2 linked regions of the Caenorhabditis elegans genome follow. The protein of the gene in region 1 interacts with the protein of each later gene in a pairwise test. Each region holds a gene or a part of one and is shown in the gene's direction. Other genes may lie near its edges.

What was found.
Region 2: the proteins of perm-4 (region 1) and ran-4 interact in a two-hybrid assay, tested with the Caenorhabditis elegans proteins (one large-scale study listed by BioGRID).

What each region holds. Positions count from the first base shown.
Region 1 is NC_003282.8:1,119,911-1,128,536, reverse strand, and holds perm-4 (PERMeable eggshell), read left to right. Parts: upstream 1-3,429; 5' UTR 3,430-3,451; coding exon 3,452-3,508; intron 3,509-3,565; coding exon 3,566-3,713; intron 3,714-4,873; coding exon 4,874-5,334; intron 5,335-6,625; coding exon 6,626-6,955; 3' UTR 6,956-7,043; downstream 7,044-8,626. Other genes in the region: perm-2 (uncharacterized protein), read right to left, coding at 373-608, 659-818, 1,653-1,736.
Region 2 is NC_003279.8:8,588,115-8,593,493, forward strand, and holds ran-4 (putative nuclear transport factor 2), read left to right. Parts: upstream 1-3,100; 5' UTR 3,101-3,102; coding exon 3,103-3,199; intron 3,200-3,240; coding exon 3,241-3,332; intron 3,333-3,375; coding exon 3,376-3,474; intron 3,475-3,519; coding exon 3,520-3,633; 3' UTR 3,634-3,864; downstream 3,865-5,379. Other genes in the region: tmem-208 (Transmembrane protein 208), read left to right, coding at 3,978-4,070, 4,121-4,238, 4,293-4,405, 4,502-4,687; R05D11.9 (Sphingomyelin phosphodiesterase 4), read left to right, coding at 4,915-5,043, 5,094-5,294, 5,343-5,379. UniProt on the Caenorhabditis elegans protein: Facilitates protein transport into the nucleus. Could be part of a multicomponent system of cytosolic factors that assemble at the pore complex during nuclear import.

The sequences.
Region 1 (8,626 bases):
TCAGGCAACTAAAAACGAGCTTTTAAACTCGGAAAAATGTTCTCAGATACACTAAAAATTGCTTTGCAACCTCAAATATGTTTCGTAGAGGCAAAAGAGCTTAGGCCTCAAAATTTGCTTAAAAACTGCGTTAAAATTACAAAAAATGATTTTCAGACGCTAAAAACAGTTTCTAGACCTTAAAACAGGTGGAACTAAGTTTAAGCCTAATCCTAAGCCTAAGCCTATGCCTAACTTTAAGCCTAAGCTTGTGCCTAAGCCTAAGTCTCAGCTTAAGCCTAAGCCTTAGCCTAAGCCTAAGCCTAAACCTAAGCCTAAGCCTAAACCTAAGTCTAAAAATAAACCAAAGCTATAGCTCTGACCCGCACTAACCGATGAGCTTCCAGCGGCACGGGACGAGATGGAGCAGCAGTTCTGGCACGACTCCTGCGAGTAGATGGCGGTGTTTCTGCAAGCCTGACGCTCGAACGGGCGTGGTCTCTGGATGAAGGATGGTCCGTAGGCTGGAGCATCGTATTGCTGGTTGTTGTTGTAGTTGGAATCTTGAGCTGGGGTTCCGTAGGCTTGTCTCTTCACGCGGTCGCCTCTGTGGTGACCGCGATGGTGCTCTAGAAGTTTTAAGGTGAACGGGACCCGTAGGAAAGTTGTTAAAACTAACTTCTAAGACCGACAAGTGGGAAGGAAGCGTGGACAGAGCAATAGTTGACGTCAAAGTTTGGGAACTGGTAGACTGGGTATTGGGGTTGGTTGTAGGATGGTCCGTTGTCGTAGCCACCGCCATAGTGAGCTCCAGCTGGGGCGTCCTTGACGTCGGATTGCTGGAAAATTGGACATAAAATTTTATTCGCTCATACTTACTGATAATTTTTTTCTAGTACTAAATTCTAAACTAGTCTAGATTCAAAGGTAGGTATTGATTACGTTCCTATACTAATAGTAAGCTACCTAGAACAAGTACTTCAAATGAATGATGGTAAATATTAAAAGCTAAACAATTATTACACTTTCAGTATTTAACAGTTACTACTTAATCTCAAAAGTATTTAATTAGTCCTAATATACCTCCCTGAATACTATTCAATATACATGCCTACTTATAGTATTACCTTTGTATCGGATTAAATAATGTGCCATATTCGTAACGTGTTTAATTTGAATTAGACCTACATCCTATTTAAGGTACATATATTTAAGGTCTAGCTACATCTAGCCACAGTAACTCCAGGAGCAGAACCTAGGTAAAAGAAACTAGTTAAATGTATACTAACCTTCCTAATAAGTTGAATTCTATTAAATATATCTACGCTTAATCAACATAGCATTTCATCAAGAAATCTTATTACCTCTAAATTTTCTGTCCGATTCAAGTTACACCTTAGCAAGTAATCTTATTTAGACTTACTATTTAGGATATCACAATATAGTATAGGTAACCCTTACGTGATACATACTAATGCACACGTGATACGGAATAAACCTAATCTTAATAACTTGAATACAACTAATTATACCTACTGACAATACATCAAGATTTAGTCAAATATCTATAACAGCTTTACTTTTTAACGTGTCTAAATCAAGTTATCTATCAAGCTACAGTAACCTTACAGTCCGTTTTTCCTAGTTCCAACAGAACCAACAGTAACGCTTACCTTCTCAGGAGCCTCGGTGCTCACAGCGCAGGTGACAGCGGCGCAAAGTGCCAGAGACGCGACGATCCAAGTGGTGGAAAACATGATGATGATCGGAGCCAAGATGCTTCGCCGCTTTTATACTTGAGATCCGCCAGAGATATGGAGGCGGGAACTCGGCATTGTAGTTTGAGGGGAAAACGTTAGGCGTTGGATAAAAAACAAAAAGGTTTGGAGCGCAAAAATGTTTGCTACGGAACCTGGAATTAAATCTCACAGCTGTGGTAACTGAGCCAACAAGTCAAAAGGCTCCAATACATGGTGAATCACTCGGACTTGATCAACTGGAAAAATGTTCCTTAACAGTTTTTCTACAGTGTTCTAGTTCAAAATGTGTTGATTTTCTCAAAATACACTTTGCTAAAAGATACACAAATTAGTTCTTTGAACCCCGCTGGATCTCAGACACATGTTGCAACACATCCTTAGGTCACTTTTTTTTCGACCGACTATTTTTTTCAGCTTTTCCATTTTCTTTTTTCTTCGCTGCTCAATCCATCACACATTCCGCTGGGCTCTTTTTCCTGCCGGCCGCAGCCGCCGCCCACCTGATTGCAACATGTTATATGAGAAATGGGATGATTGAGTGGGCTTGGAATTTCAGACATTTCAGATGATTTCATATGGAGCAACTCGTGATGGGTGAAAGTGCAATTGAATGAGAATGGAGAAATGTGCAAATACCTGGAATTTGGGCATGAAATAGATAATTAACGTATTATGTGAAAAATTTGTCTGACAAGGAAAGTAAGTTAATCTAGTCCCGGACTTCGAATCGAGACGTATGTCATTTGAAAGCTTATGGTTAGCCTAGATCACCGCAAAAATTTCAGATTTTTGGAAAAAAATAAAAATTTCCAAAAAGCTTCCACACTGTTTGTTTGACCCTAAAGACCCCCAAAAACAATTTTTAACCGCTCTAGCCACTTTTAAGGCCATTTACTTGACCTAGAATTCAGCAAAAAAATGCACTGGAGCACTTTCAGATGGCGCTTTCAGGGGTTCAGAGTTGAGTTCCGCCGCTGAAATTTTTTTGGTGATCTAGTCTAAACATAAGCTTTCAAAGGCATATGTCCTGATTCAAAGTCCGGGACTAGATTGACTTCCTTTCCTTGTGAATTGAAAGCTTTGGAGTGATTTATAGTGTTCCTAATGGATTTCTCTATGGATTTGCCAATAAAATTTCAACAATTTACATATCAATGAGCAAATTGCAAACACGTAAAATATGCATTACATAGTTTTACAAAGTTTTGTAATAAATTGATATTTATAAAAATACATAAGAGGGATACGAGCTGCTGAACAAAAATGCTGATTATGGTGCATTGAGAGTAGTTTTATTGTAAAATTTTGGCAGTAGGTTTTACATGCATTATTTATGCTTCAGATTCCCTTCTTTTTGGTGCATCGATGAAAAATTTACTGATCAACTTTAACAGTTCATATCTTCGTAGCCTTTGGTTTTATCAAAAAATTATCAACTGGCAAGTTATTTATTATTACTTTTTCTATAACTGTCTAGTTACAATTTTTTTGATATCTTGAAAATTAGCCGAGATATGGTGCAAATCTATCGATCATCTTTTCAATGTTTCCTCTTTTTTCCCCGTTCCATCAACTCAGACATTTCTACTTTCATCTTCCTCAAGCTTTTCCTCTTGATTTTTTTTTCTGTAGGCGGAGCCCATCCCATGTTCCCCCCGAACTATAAAAGCATGGCTCCGCCGACAAATCCATCATTCGATCGCTTTTCAGAAATGAAAACCGTTCTTCTTCTCACAGTCGCCTCGCTGGCCGCCGTCCTCGGTGCAAAGGTATATGGTTTTTTTGGATTTCCGCAATTTTAGGATAATCTGAAACATTTTCTGCAGCCAACACCCACCGAAGAGGTCAAGTCAGAGGCCGCTGCTGGTCGCTACGGCGGTCGTCCATCGTATGGAGGAGGAGGTTATGGAAATGGAGGAGGATATGGATACCCAGCATTCGGACCAGGATACTGGCAGCCACTTATTCAAGATCGTGAGTTCGTGAAAATTCAAATTTTAAGAGCTATAGTAATTTGGCAATAGAGCGCATTTGCGTAGACCTAGTTATGATTATACTTGTTTGAACCGCAATAGCCAACTTATTTCAAAAATGTAACATTTTTTGGGAATCATCAAAAAATTGACTTATTCATAGGTAGTTTTGTCAATTTTCAAATTTTCGAAAAATTTTGAAAAATTCATAAATTTCTCAGTTTTCGAGATTTTTCAATAATTTTTAAATCAAAATTAAGCTAGTTCTTCAAATTTTGTTGCAAAAATACTGTTTTTTTTTTTCAAAAAATCTGTAGAACTTAGGCCAATTTATCAGAATTAGAATTTTTGAAAATGTTTGAAAACCTGTAACTTTTCCAGTTTTTGAGATAATTGTTTGATTTTTATGTCAAATTAAAGATTAATTTTTTTTAAATTTTTTGGCAAAATTAACTGCGTTACTGTAGTATTTATTTAGATTAAATTTAATCTAGTTGGTGCAGAATTTCAAAAAAGCTACAATTTTCAAAAAATTTCATTGAGTTTAATGCCAAATTGAAGCTTAAATTTTATATTTTGAAAGAAATTGAAATTCGGTAGAAAACACACTTTTCCTAGGTTACGATAGCTTCCATTATTTTTTATACAAAATTCAAAAATTTACCCTTAAAATGACACAAAAACCATCCCAAAATCTCAAAAATTGAGAAAGTTATAGATTTTCAAAAATTTTTGAAATTTTGGACTTTTTTTTTTGGAAGAGTCAAATTTTATTGCTATTAAATTTTTTCGACAATTTTTATCGAAAACTAATTTTTCTTGAAAATTCAAAAATTTACCCTCAAAATACCACAAAAACCATCCCAATATCTCGAAAATTGAGAAAGTTATATAATAGATTTTTGAACATTTTCGAAAATTCATAACTTTTTTAGTTTTCGAGATTTTTTATTGAATTTATTGTAAAATTAGAGCCAATTTTTTAAAATTCTGTAGAACAAACTGATTTGAGTCAGGAATTTTTTTTGTCAAATTAACTAAAATGGTTTTTTTCTAAAATTTTCGAAAATCTACAACTTTTCCAGTTTTTGAGATATTTTATCAGTTTTTAAGTTAAATTGAAGCTGAAATTTTGAATTTTAAGATGAAAAATATTTACAGGCTTCGTATGCGACCTCGACGCCTCCGTGCTCCTCGTCGTCGACTCTGTCCGCCGCCATCATCGCCACCCACAGCCATACTACGGTGGAGCCCCATCCGTCCCAGCTAATCGTGCCGTTCGTGTAAAGTGCTCCGAAGTTGCTACCCATGATGAAGATTCCTGTAACTTCTGCTGCCAACAGACCGCCCGTCGTGACACTTCCCTTCCCAACGATCAACTCTTCGGATTCTTGGCTATTACCAAGGATGATGATGATGAGACATTCAAGAGATCCAAGAGAGGAGCTGATGATGATGATGATAATGATTCGGATTCTGATGAGAAGGACGGAAAACATGGACGTGGAAGATTCCATAAGGTTGACTCTACCTACTTGTCAGAGGCCAACTGGGAGCCAAAGAAATATCATAAGAATGTCAAGTGCGTGTGCTGTGCTCCAAGATCCTCTCCAGCTGCTCAGGTGGGGAATATTTTAAGGACTATTTTTTTTTGTTGGGAATTCAGTGATTTTGCTTTAATCTGGCTCAAAAATTACAAAAAAAATGTTGAAAAATGAGGAAGTTATAAATTTTCAAAAAACCGCGGAATTTCGATATTTGAAGATTTTGGCCTACGAGTCTAAAAGTCTAGTTTTGAAGACAGTAAATTTTTTGAAAATTTAAAATTAATCCTTTTTAAATAATTTCAAAATTTACTTTAAATTTGGCAAAAAAATCACTGAAAAATCTCATACACTGAAAAAGTTATAGATTTTCAAATTTCTGTCAGAATTAACAAAACTTTTAATTTTGGACCAATGACTTTCTTTTTGGTTTTTACCACAATTTAGTTTTTATATAACTAAAACAATTTCACTACAACATTTAACAATTCAGCTTTAATTTGGCCCAAAAATCTCTAGAAAATCTTGAAAACTAAGAAAGTTGAGAATGTTCAAAAAATCTCCGAATTTCGAAGTTTGAAGCCCTAAATTTAAGCCATATGACGAGTTCAAGCGTCTAGTTTTGAAGAAAATATGGTTTTTCAGCGTTCAGACTAGTTTTTTCCATAAAAATTGAAACTTCCGCTTTAATTTAACACTAAATTCACTAAAAAATCTCAAAAACTGAAAAAGTTTTGGATTTTTGAAAAATTTTAGAAAATTCCAAAGTTTGAGAATTTGGCATTAGGCCTACTTTTTTCAGCTATTTTACTGAATACATCACTCCAAACATGAATTTTTGTAAAATTTTAAAATTTATATTCAATTTGCCACAAAACTTATCCAAAAGTCTCAAAAACTAAGAATGCTATGGATTTTCGAAAAATCTCAAAATTTTGAAATTCGAAAAATAAGGAATTTGAGAGGAATTTTTCATGTTTTTGAACCTTTCTAAGACGATATTAAATTAAAAATTATTTTTTCCTAAAAAATATAAAAGTTTAGCTTCAATTTGACACAAAAATCACCAAAAACTCTCAAAAACTGAAAAAGCTACGAATTTTCCAAAAATTTTGAAATTCTCTCCAAAAATCTTCTCAAACTGAAAATTTCATCGGGATTTTATTGAATTTTGCAAAAAAAAAATCGATAATTTAGCCTATGTACCACTGAGTTTTAAAGAAAATTTCCTAAGAAATTTTTTTTTCAATTTCTGAAAACCCCTAACTTTGCCAGTTTTTGATATTTTTCAATGTTTTTTAGGTTATTTTGAAGCTCATATTTCAAAACTTTGAGGGAAAATTTATTATGCAATTCAATTTTCTTCCAGAACCCATCCTACAACAACAATGCTGCTCAATCCCCACCAACTGGCTACAACAACAACGCCAACGCCTTCGTCCAGCCACAACCAGTAGCTGCTCAGTCCCCACCAATGTCAGCCTCCCAGCCACTCGTTGACCTCTGGCAATCCGAGAATACTGCTCCATCAACATCATGGGGAGCTGCTCCAGCTGCTCCATCAACATCATGGGGAGCTGCTCCAGCTGCTCCACCAACCTGGGGAGGTGCTCCAACTGCTGCTCCAACTTGGGGAGCCGCCAATGATGCTCCACCAGCGGCCACGCCGGCTCCAGTTGCTGCTTCCAATGCTTATTAATTCGATTTTCTTACAAGTGACCTTTTTGTTTACATTTTTCAAATATAATTCGATTTTGCACAACCCAATAAATATCTTCTCCTGAAATTTTGTGCTACATAGCTATTTTGGAATAAACTACCAGTTTTTGAAGTTTCCGGCAACTTTGGAAGTTGCCAAATTTGTCATTCTTAAAATTTAGCTCTTCAAATTTAACTTTTGTAAAAGTTTTTGATAATTTTAGCAACTTAGACACTTGTTGAACTTTCAAATCATTCGCAGTCTCGCAACATACTATCAAATATTTTCCCACCTCTGGTCTAGATCATTTTGTTAAAACTCCTTTTTCTCAGAAAAAATTGACATTTTCCCACGTACTTTTCTACACTTTTTTGCTGTTTTCCAGACTTTAGAAAACCTCATGTATACATAGAAGCTTCACGAAAACCAGTGACCAGATTCCAAAAAGTTTTTGAGCCTGCTAGGGCTTCCCTGTAGGCGCCTGAACGCCTGCCGCGCCCGCCTTGCGGCGACCTCTGCCTGCCTTGCACCACGACCCGAATAGTGTCGGTCGCGGCCAAAGAACCACCTTTCGCACTTTGTGGAATAAACACCAAGCATTTAGTGCAGAAATTGAGCGAGGGGCAGGCGGAGATCAGGTAGCAGGCATTTTAACGCCTACATAAAAGCCCTATGGTCCTCGCACTTTCTAATGACAAAAAAATCTTTCACTCAAAAGTCCCGGCATATATGGTAGTCGGCGTTTTTGTATTTTTAGAGAAATCTAGAAATCAAAGAAAAACTTTTTTGGCTTAAAAATCTATGCAGAAATTAAAGCTACCTAATCATTAAATCTTGCAAACATTTTTTGAAATAACTTTGATTTTTCATTTTTTTTTTCAAAAAAGTTAAATTTCCAAATATTGATGCGTCACGTACACTAAAAAATCAAAAGATAATGCGCAACGTAGCAAAAAATGACTAGTAAAATTAATTTCCGCTCTGTTGGAAAGCTATGAGCTCACTCTGCAGCTCCCGAATAAATTGAAAAAACAAATATTTCAAAAATTTTGAGATTGTTTTTTGCAGCGGGTTTTTTCCGAAAAAAAGTGATTTCCGGGGGTTCTCAAATTAACTTTTTTTTCCTCCGAAAAATTACAATAACAAATTCAAATTTTTCATTTTCTAGCATTTTTTTAAGATTTTTTTTGGATTACTGTAGCTTCTACCGTACTCCCAGGAATTATTTTTTTATGACAAATAATTATAGCTTTTAGTTTTCGGAAGTACACTATATTATACGAGAACTCTGTAGTAGTGGAAAGTGCGGTAAAAATATATATTGTTTTCTCAATTTTCCAGAACTCAATCTGTTTTCATTCCTAGAAAACATTATCAACTCTATTTCCTCGTTTATTTTTGCATTCAACAACATAACTTCTCACGGTTTTAGCTTGATTTTCAAACCAGTTGGTTACTGTGGCTCCGGAAATACGCAAACACCGTCTACCGTACTCCAATGCACCGAATTTGACGGGACTTTAAGCTAGCGCTCTGGCATTTCTGGAATAAACTAATTGAGGGATGGAGAATTCGAAATGACTATTCAAAAATTTCTTTAAAAAATTTTAAGTCTAGAATATTTCGATGTTAGCAAATTTTCTGTGCTCGAACTCCATTTCTCAAAATTTT
Region 2 (5,379 bases), on another chromosome or scaffold:
CAATGAAGCCGATGACTCCTAATTAATTTATTCAAGTTTCGTTCATTTAGATATGACAAGGCATCACGAAGATCTCAAGACTCACCCGGCTTCTGATACGTGACCTAGAAATAGTTATAACTCGGCCAGCAATTTATCAAAAGCAAAAAAGTTGGGAGGAAAGTATAATTTCATCTTTTGAAATCGTTTCTCTTAAATTTTAGCAAATGTCCATTTTTAGAATTTCTTTGACTATTTTGAGTTTTTATTTTAAAAAAAAGTCCATTAATAGAAACTAACATAAGTACTACTAAGAAGGCGTCATATTGTTATTTTTGTTTCAGATGGATGTACGTCACTACTTTTTATTGAGGTGCTCTCATGAGGAACCAGAATAAATAAACTATTTTATAACACACTGTACCATTTCCAATTGTTTAAGAAATTAAAAAAATAGAATAGAACTCACAGAAAATCAGTTTTTTTCTGAATCTGGCGGCGAAAAAAGCCAAGATATGGACGGAACCTAATTTTGGGGTGTTCTCTAAGCAAATTTTGAACATTGATTTCGAATACTGAATGTTAGAAGAACGCCAAATTGACGGCGAATAGATTAGGAAAAAAAGGTTTTCAAAACAGTAATAATGTATTTATAAATTCTATAGAAGTATGACATTCTGAGAATATTATAGAAAAAGAGATTTCGTATTATTATTATTATCAAATCATTCTGTGAATCTTCGTATCATATGACTTACTATTAAACAACCAAAATGAGCTGAACCTAAAGCCTTGAAGACCACGAAGTGACCACAGATTAAATACTGGAGGAAGAAACAAAACAAGTAAATAATCATAACAATTTATCTATAAAATCCTTTCAAAAGTTGAAGTAAACAACATCCTTTGAGATATCATGATTAAAAAGAATGAATAATGTTTCTAAATTTGTATAATCCTCTTCCTCTTTTATATTATTTTTATGATTTCTTCTGACTTTGAAGAGAAACAAAATCGGATTCAGATAAATTTCGAAAATTCTTGATTAACTCGGATTAAATGTCTCCTGACAATTGCACAACGAGCAAAACAGATGAAGGGTAGAAGAAGAAAGAGAATTCGTAAGTAAAGAGAATCGAGAAGAGAATAGAAACTGACATAAAAAGTTAGAAGGTTTTATGATTAACATATATCGCATGTTTCTTCGTGTATCGAGAACAGTTTTTTCTCTCTTTCAAATGGAATTTTGAGAGCGAGAAAATTGGCAAATATTATTATTTTTCGTACATGTGAATAGTTAAGAGCTCTCTCCTATAAGAGTATATTTAACTCGACAGGAGGGGTTACTGTACCCATGTACATATTTCTGCGTTGCGTGGCCGCGAATGTGAAAAAACTCGGCCACATTCATGAAAATTTTAATTAAAGGTTTAAATTAAATCACTCATATGGTCAAATTGGCGAACATCATAGTTAACATTTTCAAAATTTGCTATACGTTTTCGTATTCAGTGACAATTACGTTGCTTTTTCTACAAGTTTTATATTTGAACTACGTTCCAATAATTTGTATTTGAACGTTGTATGAACCTGCAAGATGCTCGGAATTACTAAAAATAAAATCTTTAGAAAATCTGGCAGTTTTCCAAAATGTGACTGAGATTTTTGAAAAAAGCTCACATATTCTTCTAAGGCGATTTCACAACTTTTACAGGCTAAAATGTTTTATCTTGGATGGGATTTTCCTTTTGAGAAAGATGTAATTAATACTGTCAAAAATCAAGACCAAAAACTTTAAAAAAATTTTGATTCTCGAACTATTACACAAGCTGGGTAAATCGACACATAGTTAGAGGTTCACATAAATTTTCTTCCATTTTTAGAAAAAAATTTGGGAGTTTTAAAGCTTGCTCAAATTCAGTCAGCAAAATGGTATACAATTTAGTTTTAAAATGTTTGGCTTACTTATTTTCCTTTCAATTACAAAAATCTACATTTGAAAACTAACTGAGTATATGTATCGCTCATAGAATTTTGATAATCATGTGAGAAGCAGTATGTAATGAGTTCGGAATTGCTTGCATTAATTTTGTCAATGAACTGTTACCAAGGTAACCATAAATGTGACTGGATGAGTTTGATGTAATGAGCTCTCGAAAATTGATATCATTTCAGTTCTGGATGATGTGAAAATATAATAGTAACGGTTCTTTATTTTCAGAAAACGTTGGCTTCAAAAGACTGGTCAGGTGCCGAAAAGGGAAGAGTGAAAGAACATACATATATGGTGTTCGCTAAGGCATGAGGATGCGCAGAGATGGAAAATTATTTCAAGTTTCTATAAATTACAGAAAATTGATTTTTGAAATGCCAACATTACGGAGTAAGAATAAAGTTTAACTTCTTATTCAATTGGTAGAATGGAAAGAAATAAAAAATGGAGCAACAACAAAAGAGGAACATAATTTCAGTGGTTTTGTCGTTATTTTGTTGCTTTTCCAGCTCTGTTTTCCATTTTGGCGAGCTCAAAGAGACATAAAAACAGAGCCAACCAACTCTTTTTTCTCTGCGCCTCTTCAACAAAAAGAGTGACGACAAGGCGATTTCTCTGCTCATAACGTGTTCTCTCTCGTTTACACACTCTCTCGCTTTCTGTGCAGTAATCGCGCTCCGCTGGATTATGCTACAAAATGTGCGCGCGATGCTGGCACCTTGCCATTTTATTCTGATTTTCCAATTTATTTAGGCATTTTTATTTTTTTTAATCGGTTTTCTCTTGTGAGGAATCAAATAATTCATAATTATTTTTAATTAAACTTCCCAAGAACGAACAAAACGCAGGAAGACAATACTGTTCTTTCGAAAACTGAAACATGAGGCCGAGGGTTTAAACTTTAAAAACTAAAAAAAAACAATTTGGTTGCTGTTTATTTTTCTCAATGCGAGCAAGACCACTGCTCATCTAACAACTAATTTTCAAAATTTATTGAGACAACCCATCTCGAGTAAATATATAATTCAATTGTTTCGAAAATTATCGTATTCTTCGTTGCTTTTTCCTACCTATCTTATTTATTTTTACTCTTTTTCAATTATTTTTCCCAATTTGTCGTTTTTAAAGGAATGAGCTTCAATCCTGATTACGAAAGTGTTGCAAAGGCCTTCATTCAACATTACTACTCAAAGTTCGATGTTGGCGATGGAATGAGTCGTGCTCAAGGTATTTCGTCTGAAAAAAACAATAAACTTAGTGAATTTCAGGACTCTCCGATTTGTACGACCCAGAAAACTCTTACATGACTTTTGAAGGACAGCAAGCGAAAGGCCGTGACGGAATTCTCCAAAAGTTCACGGTTTGTGCAAAAGTACGAGAGTTCAATAACGAAACACTTTTAGACTCTCGGATTCACAAAAATTCAACGAGCGATCACTGTGATTGACTCTCAGCCTCTGTATGATGGATCAATTCAAGTGATGGTTCTTGGTCAGCTCAAGGTAAGTAGAAGTAGTTTTCAAAAAAACCGAAAAAAAATTATTCAGACCGACGAAGATCCAATCAATCCCTTCTCGCAAGTCTTTATTCTCCGTCCAAACAATCAGGGTTCCTACTTCATCGGAAACGAGATCTTCCGACTTGACTTGCACAACAATTAGATATCAATTCGTCCACTTTCCTATCAAAATGTGTCCCCGTATTGAACAATTTTTCAAGAACTGAATTTTCACCAAATTGCTTAAATATCTATTTCAACCCGGCTTTTTCCATGTTTCTAAATCGGTTTCTTTCCCCACACAGTTTCGTGTCGTTTTACTATTTCGCACAATTTCAAACTTCTAGTTTGCAAATCGGTTCAAACTAAAGAATGAAGTTTTTATCATTTTCTTTCCGAGATATCGAGAAAATTTTGTTTAATTCGTTATTATTAGTGGTTTTTCAACCTTTACAATACCTTTGACTTTTTCAGCAATGACCTCAAAAATATAAAAATTAAATACAGATGGTGAAACAAGCAACAAAAGGGCAGAAAGAGATCTATGAGGAGAATCAGAAGACTGTCACCACTTATAGTGTGGCTAGCACGATTAGCATGGTAAACATTTGTAATTTCACATTTCAACGATTTTTTAAAAATTGTTTTAGGCAATCTACTATTCATCGTGTATGTTTCTGAGCCAGTGCTCTTCCACCGATTATGTATTTTTTGCTGTCTCAGCGCTCGTGCAGATCTTTGCTATTCTTTTCATGAAATCTTTAGCTAGTAAGTTTGTCTTACCCATTAATTTTTTGTATTAATCTGAAATTATGATTTTAGAAGCAAAGCTTGACGATAAAGGACATGTTTTGGATGCTGGTGCCGATTTGAACGATCCAGAAGCATTCGGAGAATACTGTAAAGACGCCATTATTCTGACAGTCATTATTCAAGTTAGTTTTTGCAAAAAAAAAGTGTGGGAAAGTGCGCATTAATAGTTCAAAAATGAAATATTCTATCTTCAAATGTATAATTTACTCTGTTCCCAGATCATCTCACTCTATTCTACATACGGATTCCTTTTGCTCCTCGCCTTTCCTGGAGCAGCCACATACAAATTTGTTGCTGGATTCCTTCTACCATGGTTGACCGCTGGATCAGACTCAGATGAAATGGATGACAAGAAACAGAAGAAATTGGACAGAAGAAGAGAAAAAGTCGTGTACAGACGTTAAATTATAACTTCTAGAAAACAATGTTCCCTAAGTCACTTCAAATTTTAAATTATAATCGTATTTATTTATTGCATACTTGTAATGTTTATCTATTCAAATATTTTTTTTTAATACACATTTTTTCCAAAAATTTTAATGTTTTTATTCATGGTTATTTTTCCCGATCGCTCTTATTTTAGTATTCTCAAAAACTTAAAATGTTGTCGATTCTATATATAATTTCAGAGATGTTCCAGCAGCGGCAGACACCAACAGAATTTTCACAGATGGACGATGTAGTTTCAATTTGTAGGGAGATCAGTTCGAATATCATTTCCACAGACAAGAATGTTCCTATTTCAAAAATGATTATTCATGTACTTATAAGTTATTTCAAAATTAAAATTATCAATATGGAGCATTTCAGAAAATCTTCAAGAATCCCCACATCGATTTGTGCTCCATCCTCCCACCTCTAATACAACAACATTATCCAGATTCTCCTTATTGTCACATCCAATCACTGATAAACTCAAATTCAGTTTTCTTCGAAACCGTCCTGGAGGATGATCAGCTTTGTACTGAACTTTGGGACAGTATTCTACATCAATGCGAAGTGTCAACTGCGGTATATTGTTTTACATAATTTTGATTCTGAATCCTTTTGAATTTTCAGCCAACTGAGCCTGCAAAAGATTCAATTCTGTTCTCAG